Linked DNA regions of Caenorhabditis elegans. The protein of the gene in region 2 purifies or fractionates together with the protein of the main gene of each other region. This does not show direct contact. Each region holds a gene or a part of one and is shown on either strand. Other genes may lie near its edges.

Region 1 (8,009 bases), on a different chromosome or scaffold from region 2:
TCAGGTTTCTAAAGTTTTCAATTATTTCTCATGGTAGGCAGATGCGGTTTCAAGGCCTGATGCCTGCCTGAAACCTGCTCACCTTTTGCCTCCTTTTTGCACATTTCCATTTTTACGTGAATTCACAAATGTCCAACTTATTTATTTGCACTCTGATAATTAATTACGAATGTTACTTTAGTTCAAAAAAGTGTGGCTACAAAAAGTGGTGCCAGGCTGTCCCATTACGGTGTGATCTACAAAAATGCGGGAATTTCTTCCTAAAAAAAGGTGACGTCAGCACGTTCTTAACCATGTGAAATCAGTTGTGAACTCTGCGCCTCTTATCCCGCATTTTTTGTAGATCAACGTAGATCAATCCGAAATGGGATACTCTGACACCACGTGCTGAAAAGTAATTTTTAACTTTTAAAGTATGGTTATTGATGGATTAGCGCCAGTGAGGAAATTGTTAAAAACTACTCCAGTGGTGCCAAAATGATAGCAAAACTTTTCCAAAAAAATTTTGAAAATTTTGACAAGTTTGACAAGTTTGAAAAGTGACAATTACTCAGTTTTTGAAAGTCATAATTTTGGAAGTCTGCCAAAAAAATTCCTATAAAACATTCTAGAGGTCGGAACAGGTTTAAATATTTGGCATTTTGCCAAAACTTTTCTGGAAATTTTAAAAAATTTTTCAATTTTTTCGAGTTCGTTTTGGCTGGCGCTAAATATTGTATTTTTTCAATTATTAGTGCCCAAACCTTGTAAATGTTCAAAATATTGAAATTTAGTATTTTTCAGATGTTCGTTTTTTGAAAATCCAGAGAAGCTCAAAATTAATTTTTAAAAATGAGGAAATTTGGGAATTTACCAAAATTTCTGGAATTTTTTTCATTAGGACATTAGATAAAAATTCACATTTATGATCTCTAGACTTTCCGCTGAATACTGCCTATAACATACCTGGAACCAGACCTTGACCTGCTTCTCATCAAGCATCAATTGTGCAGAGAGTTCTGATCTCCGCTTATTCGTGAGATATTGATTGACAGAATACTCGTACTCAAGTCTTGATATCTGATCTTTCTTGTACGGTTGTCGCTTCTTCTTCCCGTCATGTGAGATTGCCCACGGAAGATGCATTGCAGCGTTCGGAGTTGTTGCCGCACTGCTTCCAGCCGTCGTTGGAATTGTGATATCTGAAAATAAAATATTTTGATTGCAGTAAATCAATAACTATAAAACAAGATGGAGCATATATATATTCTGAGACGTCTGTGTGATGACACAGACTGAGAGCAGGTGGGGGGAGGTTCCAGTCGTAAAATTGGGGTGGGCCATGTTTTCGGGATAGAAGGCCCGGGGCAGACACACATGCCGGTCCCTTTCAACTCTAATTAATTGGACGGCGACGCCAGGAGCTGTCTAGATTACGGTAAACTGAGCATATGGGGGGGCCAGGGTTGTGCGGCAAATCTCAAAATTTGCCGAGCAAGACAAATTCGGCAAAATTGGCAATTTTGCCGTGTTTATTAAGCTCAGAAAAATGTGATACTTTTTGATATAATTTTTTAATTTTGTGTCAATTTACTAAATTTTTGGAGGACAAAATCAAGTGTTTTGGTCAAAATTGTATTGTCAAATTTTGCCTAGCTCGACAAACGGTAATTTCGGCAAATTTGCCGCAAACCCCTGATGGGCAGCCTCTAACTCGTTTTCCGTGAAATTTATGCAACTTTTTAAGGACATATGAATTCAAACAGTTGAAGAATTTCCGGGAAAGTACCTGATTACAAAACTCAAAATTATTGACGCGCAAAATATCTCGTAGCGAAAACTACAGGGGGCTTGATTTTTGAAATGAATTGAGCAAAAAATGAGAAAATAATATGAAGAAGCCACAGTAGTCATTTAAAGAATTACTGTAGTTTTCGCTACGAGAAATTTTGCGCGTCAAATATGTTGCGCAATACGCATTCTCAGAATTTTGTCTTTCCCTAATAACTCACGGCAGGGCGCCTGGTACATCAATACAAACGTGCTCTACTGATAACTTGAGTAAATTAAGGAAGATCTACTCAACTATTACTAACTACGTCTCGGACTCTTCTACAAAAAAAAATTTCCAAAATTCCTGGGAACATCTGCCAACTACCCACAACAGGATGATTTTATAGCCTTCTTGCATGCCCGTTTCTCCAGGTGTTCTTCTATTCTGCTCGGAGATTACGTAAATGTTTTAGGCCTTTTAATACCAACATATTCCGTTTACCTGTTATATCCTAATCCTCCCCATTTACAACAATTTGATATATGATGATCCTTGACGGGGACAATACCTCCTAGACCCCTATTGATACAACATTTTACGATTTATTGAATTTGATGATTCAGTTTACGCTTGCGAATTCTAAAGGTGTTTACTTTGCCATTTCAGTCATGCCATAGAGTTACCCTTTTTTGCTGTGAAACTTACTTGAGAATCGATTTTTTCAAAATTCAAAAAAACCCGAAAGTGTACAGTGTACAGTACTTTATCTTTCAAAAAATCAGAACAAAAAACAATGAAGGGCAAAGAATTTGTAGGAGAAGGCAAGTGGCACGCCGTCGTCGTCGACTATAAAACTAGCGTCATAAAATTCTAGACAACACTACTCCTCACACTGGGACCCGGTCGGCATACACTTTGAACTTCAAATGAACAACTTGCCGAAAGGATACGGAAGAAGATGAAGATCACATCTGGCATCAGAGAGAGAAGGGATAAGCTGTTGGAAGTTAGAGCAGGGTTACGGTACTTTTTAGTCAGGAATGTCATTTTTCTAGAACATCATTTTTCATAGCCGTGAATCATTTCCATAATCGAATCAAAAAAGGAACATCAAAAAATGTGGGTGCTTCGACGATTCTTCAAAACTAAAACTTGCGTTAAAGATTTCTAATTATCGTAATAGTATTGCACTTAATTCTGAAGACACGTAAATCGAGACAAACGCTACAGTAGTCATTTAAAAAATTACTGTAGTTTTCGCTACGAGATATTATGCGCGTCAAATATGTTGTGCAACACGCATTCTCAGAATTTAGCGTAACTGTAATATCACGTGGTGTCAGAGTGTCTCATTTCGGCTTGATCTACGTAGATCTACAAAAAATGCGGGAGTATGAGAAGCGCAGAACGTGCTGACGTCACTTTTGTTTTGGGCAAAAAATTACCGCATTTTTTGTAGATCAAACCGTGATGGGACAGTCTGGCACCACGTGTAATATTTTCACGGCACGGCAAATGGTACATCCGTGGAAATGCGCTCCATCGAACACCGTGCATAACCCGGATTGGACGCGTTATAAGGAAAAAACTTTGGCCTAATGAATTTAGAATTTTTTGTGAATACTGTAACTTGATTAAAAAATTTTTAAATGAACCATCCGTTTTTGAGAAACACGCACCCAAACTGCCAGGTATACGGTAGACAAACTGCGTAAAGGTACCACTTCTCGGGTATAAGCTTTCAAAATTAAACAATATGGTGCAATACTAATAGAGAAAGTTACTAGATGCTTCAAAAAGTGCTCAAAGTCGCTTAAAGTCCTTAGTTCTTTCTCCCGCTAATCTCGATATCGAATTCCGCATTATATCAACATGACAAGCAGCTTTTAGTTTTAGTAATACGTGTCACTAAAATCGATAAAAAAAAACTACGGACGCCGTAGCGAGACCCACTGAGAAAAACATTATGTACCTTTAGAATAGCCCTTCCCGATCCCAAAAGAACATTCCAAAGAAGGCTCCAACATGTCTGTCGTATCCCCATCCAGCTCTTTCTCCCTCATCTTCGCCCATCCCTAACTACCGTATCTCAATTTGTCCTTCCCCTAATTGAAATGGGGGCTGCCCCCCCCCTCCACTCGCTGTTTTTAATCCGAAAATTTGCGCAGCAGTCGTCGTGACGCCAAAAAAGAGAGTCTCTCTGCCTCTCCAAATACGGGGAGCGGGACGAAGCCAAGCAGCCACACGGAGTCGTAAAATCGAAAATGGAGATAACACACAGCAAGCGAGAGAGACGGGGAGAAAAACGAAATATTTTGGGCGAAAAGGCAATTTGTGAATGAGTGATAGGGACATGTATAGCGCCCCCCCGAAAAGTACCATAAGGCGCCAAGTTGAGTTATTTTATAGACTGTTGATTTGTTGCTGGGAGGTTTGAGATTTGAGATTCTATTACACTGGTTTTTGATCTTTTTTATTTGAGAATGGTGATTCACAACTTCCAGCATTAAAAAAAATCTGAAAGTGCACCGTATATTCCCTTTTAGTATGGCGCCCCCCTCACTCGACTTTGACCGTTTATATCTCGGTTCTCTTTGATTGATCATATTTCAAAAATTCAAACGACAAAATCTTTTTCAAATCTATTGTTATGCTCTGGTTTTTAAAGGTACCAAAAATCTTCTGAAACCGCTGAAATATAAGCCGACAAAGTCAATTGATAGGGGGGGGGGTCATACTAATAGGAAATATACGGTAGTATAAACTGCTATACACACCTAGTTCAAAAGTCATGGGGTACTTAGTAATTCTATTCTAGTTAAAGAAAAAACAGTCCCGCCGGATGTCAGTTGCTGTAAACAAAGTTATGTAATTATGGCAATATCAAGGATGTGGAAAAAATCAACAGCAACATTTTGTTAGTTGGAAATTTTTTGCTAGCAGTTATCATATTCGAGTTACCTATACTTGTTTGAGCAATTCAAGCAAATCACCGTAAAAGCGAAAATAGCTAATATATAAACTTAAATGAGTTCAGGAAAAAAACCTAAATCCTAAAAGCTACGTTTTACATAAGACATTAAAATACGGCATACCTTACAAAAAATCGATATTGGTATAATTAGAACCACAGCTTCTGACACTTTGCCCCTTCTCTACCGTACCATAAAACTGATGTAAAGTGTCTGTTATCGATATAGTCTTCTCCTCTCCTTTTTTGCCTTTTCTCCAAAAAAAAAAGAGTGTCGCCAGTGCGTGTTTATACACGTCGTCGATACACACACACACACATATACAACTTGAAAGGGTCGCCGCTGGCGCCGCGAGGAGAGTGCACTCTCCGATTACTGTATGGGGGCAAAAAAATGAAGAAGATTCTATATAAGGAAGAATGACGAACAAAAAAAGAGATGATCGGAAGATAAAGTGGTACGGTAGGAATTGAAGGCGCGTGTGTGATTTGATATCGATTACTAATTGGGCAAGGGCGAGGCGAAATTTATGGGTGGGGGAGGTCTCAACGGTAATTAATAATTTTATGATTGTTATGCGGAAAAGGAAAGGAATGAGATCCAAATAGGCTGCGAATTGACTTATGATCTTTTAGAAAGTTCCGAGTTACGGAGCAGAAAACCGTGTTCTCCTACCCTTGCAACTCGCGGCGGTAAGATCAAAGCTAGTGATAGCGAGGAATGCGGAGGTGGGCGGGCAGATGGAAGAGCACAATGACATAATAGAAGTGAGATGTTGGAACTAACCACTTAAATTTCCATCGAGACTTGGAATGGAGTAGTTAGCTGTGAATTGATACGGTTGTCCGTATGAGTACCAACCAGTTGAGGCCAGCGGATTTTGATAGAAATCCGTGTAGACCGGGTTCATCATCATTCCAAACTCGTTGGCAGTTGGCATTCGACTTGGTCCGAACCCATACATCCCTGCTGTTCCAGGCATAACCATTCCTGTGCTGAAAATGATAGATGTCATTTGCCAAATCAACTTCACACTAACCTAGACGGCGCTAGCTGTGGACTCGACCCAGTTTCAGATTCTCTTTCCGAACGGCTTTCTCCTTGTATCGACGGTATGGCAGCAGCAGCACTTGGCCAGAAGAATGGAGTTTGTTGGACAGAGGTGATAGATTCTTTAGAGTCTTCTGGAGAGTCGTTATTAATCATTTGTTGCATCACCGAAATCATTCCATATATGAGCAGCTTGGGGAGTTATTTGGGTTTGGAGATCTGTTTTTGAACCTGAAAGTTGAGCACTTTGCGAGATTGAGCTTGAAAAAGTAAGGAAAAGAAAAACGAGAATTTAAAAAGCTTATATTTGAACACTACTGTAGCACTTGTGTCGATTTACGGGCTCGATTTTTGAAATGAATTTAGCACGGCTTGTAAGAGCTACAGTAGTCATTTACCGTATATTTCCTATTAGTACGGCCCCCCTCACTCGACTTTGAACGCTTATATCTCGGTTCTTTTTGATCATATGTCAAAAACTCGAACGACAATATCTTTTTCAAATCTATAGTTATGCTCTGGTTTTTGAAGGTATCAAAAATCTTATGAAACCGCTGAAATATAAGACGACAAAGTCGATTGATGGGGGGCCATACTAACTAGATATAAAGCTTTAGCTACGATATATTTAGGATTTTGACGCGGAAAATTAATTAATTAGTAAATAAGCTTATAACAGTAATTATTATTTATCGGCGACAAACGCGGCAATCAAAACCTTAAGCACCAATAAAATAATTTTAAACCTCATAAACCTTTTGAGGGTAATAAAATAAAAGCTGGGGGGGCACATAAATAACATAAATGTTGAAACATGCATGCGAGACAAGTAATAAAGATTAAGAGAGCACTAAAAAAGTTTTATAAACGCATTAAAAAGGTGTTTCCTCTTTCCCCCTTGTGTTGGAAAACACCAAAGAGACTATAAAGAGAATAAGGGGCGGGGGGCCGTGAAAGGTGATGAGGCCGAGGAGCAGAAAGGAGGACACTACATAACACGCACGCTCCACCCACTTGTCTACCGTACCCCTCTGACGAATTGGGCGGCGAGGAGCGGGGCGGGCGGGGAACAGAGAATGAATAGGAGAGACAAGTTGAGTGCAAAAAGCAAGGGAAAAGCAAATTCCATGATTTTGACAAATATCAACTTTTTATTCCCATATATATGATACAAAATTTGAGCGTTTTTTTTTCAATTTTATTATATCAATTCATTTGAAAAAAAAACCCGACCTCCTGCACTCCGTATTCTATGATATAATTTTAGTATAGGAAACCTTCCACCAATTTTACGACTGGATTACCTTCCGATCCGATTTGCCTTTTAGTCAATGGACAGGAAGAGAGAAAGAGAGGTCGCCACTTTTTTTTCTTTTTTCTCGCTTCGGTTTCTGGTCATTCTATTTTTCTTGTCAAGAGGATTTAGATTTGAAATTTAAAAAACCCCCTGAAGCTTGAGTATTTAAGCTTCCCGCACACGTGGTGCCAGAGTGTCTCATTTTGGATTGATCTACGCTGATCTACCAAAAAATGCGGCAGAGTTCTCAATTGATTTTGCATGGTTAAGAACGTGCTGACGTCACATTTTTTGAGAAAAAAATTACCGCATTTTTTGTAGATCAAACCGTAATGGGACAGCCTGACACCACGTGGCGGCTTATACCTCGGCTGTCTTCAGTTTTACCAAAAAATTTGCAATAACCAAAATATAGGGAAACACTTTGCACTTATTTTGTCCGTTTGCAATTGTTTGATAAAACCAAAGCGAACCGAGTTTTAGGCTGTCAAAGTAGAGCAGGGGGTGCTTTTTTAGAACAGTTTTGATTTTTTAGATACAGGTTTTTATTTAAATTTGAGACCCTAAAACTATCGTGAGACTTAGGCTTAGACTTAGGCTTGAGCTTAGGCCCTTTGAAATTCTAGAAACTTATTTCTGGAAAATCAGAATGAAACTTTTCAAAAAAAAAAAGGATTAAATGCTTTTATGGCGGTTCAAAATTTTGAAAAAACACCTATATTCAGCTTTTCCGTGTCGGAGAGGTTGGAGACTTTTTTGTATTTTCCTGGGCTTCCATGTAGGCGTGAAGACGCCTGCCTGGCCTTAAGGCGACCTCCGCCTGCCTTCCGCCTCAATCCGCGCTTTATGCTCTTAATTAAACTTCCATCAAAATGATAAAAATGAGAAAGTTTGAAATTTTTAAATTCAAGTAAAAATTCAAAAAAAATAACGAGAA
Region 2 (7,541 bases):
CTGATGATGTCTATAGCGCCTTTAACTATTTCATACATATACAAAATCCCGGATATAGTCATTGCCATATTTTATTTTCCTTTTTTTCCTAAGTATTTGTGGAAAGTTTAATACGAAAACCAATAAAATACGTGTTTTGAACTTATAATATAGAAAAACCTATTTTAAATTTAGATTAAAAACTATTTAAACCTAACAGGCATACCTTTAATTTAACCAGACGATTCAATTTTTGATAATGACGTTATCATAATTATGCAAAAATGATTAGCTTTCTACAATATACATTGTTAAATATCTAAACTTTGTTGAAATACCAGCTCAAAATGAGAATATAACTTTTTTAATCTAAGAACTATCAATATTTTGACGAAATTTTATATTCTATTTTTTTTAAATAACGTTTCTAGTCTTAGCTGAGCATGTTGCTTTTTGTGCATTTTTCGAGAATAACTTTTTTATTGTTCAGTATTTTTTAGAAAATAATTTCCTGTCTTGACTCTCTGAAATATTTTCGATGAGCTATCTCAATTAATCTCAATTTGGCTTCATTGTTAGTACACACGTTTAGAACCTAATGTTTTTAAGCTTCAAATAACCTGTAAACTTTTTTTTTTAATTCGGTCATTTTTGAGCGAAAAAAGTTTCACCCAGCGCCCCGCCCTTTTTTTAATAAAAAAAATGTCCAAAAACCAATTCTGCACGGTGAGATATCATCAAGATTCAGTAGAAGTTTTTAGATGCGAAATTTCAGACGTAGAGAACAGGATGACAAATTTTTATACTGGTAACATCTAGTAACATTTGACTTCGATTTTGATAATTTGTCTTATTTGTACTATTCATTTTTAAGCGGTTTCCTTGTTGGGATAATTTCTATCATATCGAAGCAGATAGTTTTTAACCGGAAGTGCTTTTCTATACAAGCATATGTCGAGTTTGTTTTATTTTGTTTTAAAAATTTATTTTATTTGGCGCTTCTAAAAATCTTTTTCCCAGGCTAACTTATATGGTCCTATTTACGTTATCTCTCGATATCTCCTCTTAACCGGCTGATTGCGTAATAAAATGTAGATAGCGAGAAAAAGGGGTGGAGGCGACTTTTAGGGTAGGCGATGAATCAAAGCAGTCTAGGTAGGTAATATAAGTGAATTGACGAAGAAAAAAAATGAAGAACAATGCAAAGAAAATCAAATCTCCTTTTCCCACCCGGGGGGCAGCAAGTGAGACTATAAAAAATCGAGACCCACCGTCCCTGCGGTTTTCGCGCGCTGCGCAGAGAGAACAAGAGATATTCAAGTTGAAGTTACTGGGCAAAAAACGAACTGTAGCGGTGCCTGGCACGACCCCTGACGATACGCCACTGAATTGCCATACTCACACGTTTGCTTTCTCCGTTGTCGTCGTCGATCGTTTTTCTTTACCTCCCGTCAAGAAGAAGAAGACCCCCACGTCCTCTTCTTTTCTCTTCCTTTTTTTCATCATTTTTTCCCTCTCGATCATCCCCTTCTCTCCCATCGACGTTCACTATTTCAGGCCTCCGCGTCGACCTTCAACTACGACTCTCTTCTATACATAGGTAGCCGTTGGCGGATTTTAGTGGACGAAGAAGACGAGCGGGTGTGTCTTACGGTATGTAGGTCCCCTCGGGTAGAGCATGGTGGAGGGTGCGAGACAACCAAAGACATCCAACGATAGGCTCGCTGATGCCGCCAGTGGTGTGGTGGGAGGAGATCGACCGGCCCAAGAGATCCACACGGCAGCGAACCACTTACTCTCACTTTTCCGACTCCGCCTACTTTTTCTTCCGTACCGTGCCATCCTTGGACAGGTCCTTCATACCTTGTGCCATTCAGCTATCCCTTTCTCAAATTCATTTTTCTGTTTTCAATTTCATTCGAACATACAGTAATCCGAGATCTGTTCCAGAAATAAATGACTGACGTCGAGAGGATGGTTCTGCGACCGAATCATGAAGGCGAGATGTGCCCGGTTTGTGGTGATCGAGTCTCTGGATATCACTACGGCCTTCTGACGTGTGAAAGTTGCAAGGTTAGTCTTAGATGTCTTCACTTTTTTTCCGCGGGAAAAAAGTGGGTGTGTGGCAAAATGATAAGGTCATTTGTAGTTAGTGAGAGTCCCGACTCAGGGACACGTTCGAGCCCTTCAAGGACAGACAACTCTCACCGCCAAAATCATTCACTTGTTGCCATATGACCCTCATCGGGCGGTCATCTCTAGTTTTTCATTTGATTCTTTTTTTTCCATTTATTGTTTCATTCTCTCCATCAATAATTTTCTCTTTACAGGGCTTCTTCAAACGCACTGTTCAAAACAAGAAGGTGAGTACATACATATGTATAAAAATATAACACTGTAGCTGATGTTATCTAAGTATTGTTTTCGACTTTCTCCAATTTGTCCCTTCTTTCAGCAATATCAATGCTCTGCCGAAGCCAACTGCCACGTGGATCGTACTTGCCGGAAGAGGTGTCCAAGCTGTCGATTCCAGAAGTGCCTCACAATGGGAATGAAAATGGAAGGTAAGATATCTATCATATCTAAAAGAGCGCAACCGCTCTTCTGTAAGAGCACATACTGTGCTGACTTCTTGATTGATGGGATAATAAGGGATGTAACCGTTATCGAAAGTCCATCTCTATAAAAATTTTGAATTTGCACTTTAAGCAGCGTCATAAGCTTGTTCCACGTAATCATCGCGCAAGGCTTACACTTTTTGTGGATTTCTACTTCTCCTTTCTTTCATCTCTGTTACATGTTTCTCTCTCTCTCGTTTTTCTTTTCGTTTCGTTTTTGCATGACAACAAAAACGATATATTGAAAAGAGAGATGCAAAATTGGATATGAAACGGTGAGAGTGGAAGAGAAGAATAGATCTGACAGTCACCGAAAAACCGGTACCTGGAGACCTGGGGGTGGAGGCGCGCATCTCAAACGCTCTATGGCAGGCGCGCAACCATTTCAAATGTTGGAGAAAAGTGAGGCAACACCTTGGAAAACAACTGAAGTTCAGTGAAGTTTTATTAGGACATCCGGTGCATCATAAAAGAACTATTGGCATTCGGGGAAGTAGTAAAAGTGCAAAACAATAGTAGCCGGCTCGATAATTATAGGTGCTGAACAGTACCTTTGTTGGGAAAACATGAAGTGCCGAACTCATTCATTGCGGCGCGTTTTTCGTGAGGATCTCAATTGCAGGGTGTCGCATGTTTTGCGGCAAAAATGACTGCACTTGCCCACTCTACTCCAGATCAAATGAGCCGTGTGTACAGTCATCTGGCGGGTACAAACGGGGAACTGTAAATTGAAGGGGGAACATCGAAATGAGTGTGTGCACTTGGATAATGACTATGTTTTGTAGCGGTGCGTGCCGATAGGATGAGAGGTGGACGAAACAAGTTCGGATCGTTTTATAAGAAGGATCGGGCTCATCGTATGCAGAGAAACGCAATGAGAGTGAGCACAGTGCAAGTTCCAGCCGTCCTTGGAGCACAATCACAAGCACAAACATTCTATCAACCTCCAGAGCACCAGGTTTCAAGCAGGTGAGCTTTATTTCTTATATTTCTTTCAACTTATCAATCTCATATTTCAGCACAACTGACCAGAACAACCAAATCAACTATTTTGACCAAACTAAAATCAAAACTGAATATATCAAAACTGAGTATGATGCACATCTCCAGAGTCCAACATTGTCCAGTAGCACTAATCAGCAGCGTAAGAATATTTTCTGGAGTTGTTAATAGCATCAAATTATAAATTTCAGTTTCTGTTTCCGATTTTATCATGAGACCTGGATACTTAGTTGACCCACAAGACAGCTTGGCAGTACTTCTTGGGAGCACAATTGACGACCCACTTCTCAGGCATACCTTCCCAGCAGCTTATCAGTTGAATGAAGTCAAACAGGAGCCATTTGACTATTCGGAGCAGTTCATTCATCACTCATTGCACGACTATCCAACTTATACCAGCAACACTACCAATTATGCTACAATGATGCCAATGACAACTGTTTCCAGCACACAATCCTTGGTCACTTCGACTTCTTCTAGTAAGTTTTAGTTTTTTTATCGCTTTTTCTTGTCTTCAGTTTATAGTTTCAACATTTCAAATTTTTGATTAAGTTTTTTTTTAATTTTTGAAATGTTAACATTACTTAATTTCAGCAACAACTGGCCGAATGACAGAAGCTAGCAGCACATCACCAATTCTCCCACTTTGCCCAGCACCAACTGAAAAAACGGTGGACCACTTTTACAACAGCTCGATCGCCGAAATGTGCAAAACATTACCCGATGATGCTCAAATTGCTCGAATTTTCACAAGCGTAAAAGGAACTAGCAAACCTGAAAAGCACGCATTTTCCATTCAAGTCGCAGAGGAAAATTTGAAAGATATCGTGATTTGGGCAAAAAATGATCAACTATTCAGCAAATTATCGGTAAAATAATACATACAACAATATAATAATCTAGGCACTCTCATTTCCCACCAGCGGTTTTTTTCTAATATTTTTATTCTCTATTTCCCACCCTGATGAGATGGGAATAATGTAGATAAATTGCTCGCTTCCGGTGATCAAAAGAAACAATCGCCGCTATAAAAAGAGGCGCTCCTTCTCAAAAGGTACATCCCCATACAAACACACCTCTATTGTTTTCATTACGGACACCCATTATGTACTAGGAGTAATTGCACCGCAACCTTTTTATATCCTGAGTGTGATAAGTAATTGGTTGAAGATTTACTAAAGTGCATTTATTCCAGTTGGATGACCAAATGATTCTGTTGCAAACATCGTGGACAACCGTTCATATCGTTGATATCACTAATGCAATGGTCCACGGAAATCTTCTTTCGCAGTATAAAATGTCAAATGGTGATGAGTAAGTTGTTAAAATTTCTTTGAGTTCCATTCTTCCTAAGGCTCGGAAACAATTTTTGTGGAACGTTTGATTCTGGCTATTTAATGAGTCAATCAACTTCCAACGCAACACAACTACTATAAACAAACCGATCTGACAGCGGCGTCTATAAGATTAGGCTATAAAGATTTGGCGATAAATCTTGACTCATCTATCTCGATTACCCACCTTTTTTGCCTCTCGCAACATTGGGTGCCGACATGACGCAAGTCTTGATTCTCGGCACCAGATAAGATCTTCGTCCCGCGAGCTCATCGTATAAAGTATTGCGCATTTTCCCACTACCGGCATAGGCTCTAATAAGGATTAGGCTACCATTTTAGTTACGTAATTGTTGTGAAAACGAGCCGGTGGTCTTTCAAAAGTTCAAGACCTTTTAAGGCCCAATAAACCACTATAAAATCGTATTCTTTTTGCAGAGTTCCCGTCGGTCTTGTAGCTCTTCTTGGCAATCAAACATTCGTATCATCATGGAATGATGTTGTTATTCGGCTTCGAAATATGGGATTCACGAATTTCGATTATTGTGCTTTCCGATTCTTAGCCCTTTTTGACCAATCAATGGACTCTTTCCCAGCAGTCTCTACTGCTCGATCTCGAGTACTCCAATCTTGGCGTGAAGTGAGATGTACTACCGCCTTTCTGGAAATTTTCGAACAAATCAGGTAAACCTTTGGCCTTCGTAAAAACCCATCACAAATCAATCTTTCCCCTCGCCTCCACACAAATTAGCAACGTTGCCGTATAATTAGTGCTCATCTCTCCCTCCAAAAACTTGTTGTATACAGGAGACAAAGAATTGGGGAGAGAAGAGAAGCATCGGAAGAGTGGAGAAAAAAACTTATAATAGGAAGGCTCATTTATTCTGGTTGGATAGGTGCGCGAGGAGAAGGAAACAGATTAGAAAACGGGGCACAATATGTATACGGTATTGTTGCGCAGCAGGTGGCACTAAGAACGGGGAGAGAATCTTTACTAAATACATATGAATAGACAGAAAACAACTTGACTTATGAATATGCATTGGGAAATATGAATAAGTCGATTAATTACTTCTTACAATCTATTCTTTCTAATTTCAGACGACTCGCTTACGACTCACTACGGTACTTATGGAACCTTCATTCAAACTGCCCCACGAACTGGGAGCAATTCTTTCCGGAAGCCTCCTTGGTTCTTGAAATGATTCGCACTACTGTCAACCGATCGGCTAGCAGTAGCGTCACCGCAATCACTCAGGTCCCAGCAATCCAACTGCCAACCCCACAAGCCACATACACTGCTGTGCCGTACATGGCATCATAATGTCTCTGTCATAGGAGCTGAAAACTTCCAATGGAGTCAGTCAGCAACTCCCTTTGTTTAGCGATCTCGCTCAACTCTTCCATTTTTACGGGACCGGTTTTTTCTGTTGTCAATTACAGACAGCCAGTATTTTCTGCATAATTCCCTTATTTCACTTATTCAACTTTATAATATCAATATCATTTTATACCTCAAAAACCTCCATCCATGCATTTCAATTCATTTTCTTCAAGATCTATTGAATATCTTGCATTTTTCGTGCTGTGTCAGCTTTTAGTCGGTTGTACTTTATTTAAATCATTTGCATTTTTTCAATTCTCATTTTGTCTCAATATCTGTGTATCCTAGTGCCCAAACCCTCACAGCTTTTAAATGTATTTTGCTCTATTTTTTTTTCATTCAAAAATCTTTCCTCTCAAAACCCATTTTCCTAGGTCACGAGCCAATCAAAATTGGCACTTTATTATTATTATTGTTTCTCCCAACAAAAATCTGAAAATTCCGAAAAAACGTTCTCTGCCGAACTCTTCTCATCTTCCCAAAACTTTAAGACTGTTCTCTTCTGCAAAACGGATAATTGTTTTACATGCAATTAATATATTTGTATTTTGTCTGAATTCGCCCCCATTTTATTTCTTTATGGATTTTTATGTTTGGTTGTTTTATTATTCTTTTTTTCTTTGATTTTGATCAATCAACACACCTCACTTGTTTTGTATGTGCAGATCGTATATAAAAATTGAAATTTTAAATTATTTGAAATACTTTTACAAAAAATATTAAAATGAAGTATTGCGATTGTAGGATGAACTTTCAGGTTTTTGTGGATTTAAAAAAATAAGACTTGGTTTTTATTTGGTTCTGAAAACTTTCAGAAAACTAGACTTTAGTTTAAAATTTTTAAGACCAATCTTTTAAACTTAAATACTTTGTAGAGTGAGTACAGTTCACTCTGGATGTGAAAGTACTTTTCCCACTTATCTGTCTATTTTTGCCCTTTATTTTCCTCGCCTTGTCTACAAAGGGCGTTTTTCCTATATTTTGTGTCAGTTGCCATATAGGAGTATTACTTTCAGAACGAAAAAAAGTGAATGGTTACTTTTCGATTCTGCGTCTTCTTTGTAACTATTGAACCTTAAAAAATGACAATAAATATTCCACCTATAGGTAAAAAGAAGAGAAAAAAATCAAAGCCCCTTGTCTCCCTACGCTTTTTTCTTCCACCACCCACGGAGAGGCCCAACGATTTAACCGAACTGGTTTTATATGTCTTCTTCGTCTTTT

What was found.
Region 1: the proteins of nhr-25 (region 2) and nob-1 purify together in Caenorhabditis elegans (affinity purification with western blotting, with the first as the bait; one study listed by BioGRID). This does not show direct contact.

Annotation. Positions count from the first base shown.
Region 1 is NC_003281.10:12,078,311-12,086,319, forward strand, and holds the start of nob-1 (Homeobox protein nob-1), read right to left. Parts: upstream 6,007-8,009; 5' UTR 5,953-6,006; coding exon 5,765-5,952; intron 5,721-5,764; coding exon 5,512-5,720; intron 1,182-5,511; coding exon 946-1,181; exon of another isoform or gene 1-945. UniProt on the Caenorhabditis elegans protein: Transcription factor, involved in posterior embryonic patterning, morphogenetic movements of the posterior hypodermis, and cell fate specification. Binds to the 5'-TAGT-3' motif in regulatory elements of genes, including Meis protein psa-3 and microRNA mir-57.
Region 2 is NC_003284.9:13,006,957-13,014,497, forward strand, and holds nhr-25 (Nuclear hormone receptor family member nhr-25), read left to right. Parts: upstream 1-1,536; 5' UTR 1,537-1,632; intron 1,633-1,929; 5' UTR 1,930-1,935; coding exon 1,936-2,052; intron 2,053-2,061; exon of another isoform or gene 2,062-2,264; intron 2,265-2,309; coding exon 2,310-2,342; intron 2,343-2,434; coding exon 2,435-2,543; intron 2,544-2,815; exon of another isoform or gene 2,816-2,957; intron 2,958-3,150; exon of another isoform or gene 3,151-3,333; intron 3,334-3,382; coding exon 3,383-3,566; intron 3,567-3,616; coding exon 3,617-3,741; intron 3,742-3,790; coding exon 3,791-4,078; intron 4,079-4,193; coding exon 4,194-4,468; intron 4,469-4,794; coding exon 4,795-4,913; intron 4,914-5,371; coding exon 5,372-5,617; intron 5,618-6,034; coding exon 6,035-6,257; 3' UTR 6,258-7,006; downstream 7,007-7,541. UniProt on the Caenorhabditis elegans protein: Orphan nuclear receptor and probable transcription activator, required during development. Plays a role in male tail tip morphogenesis regulating the expression of the transcription factor dmd-3 in a negative feedback loop.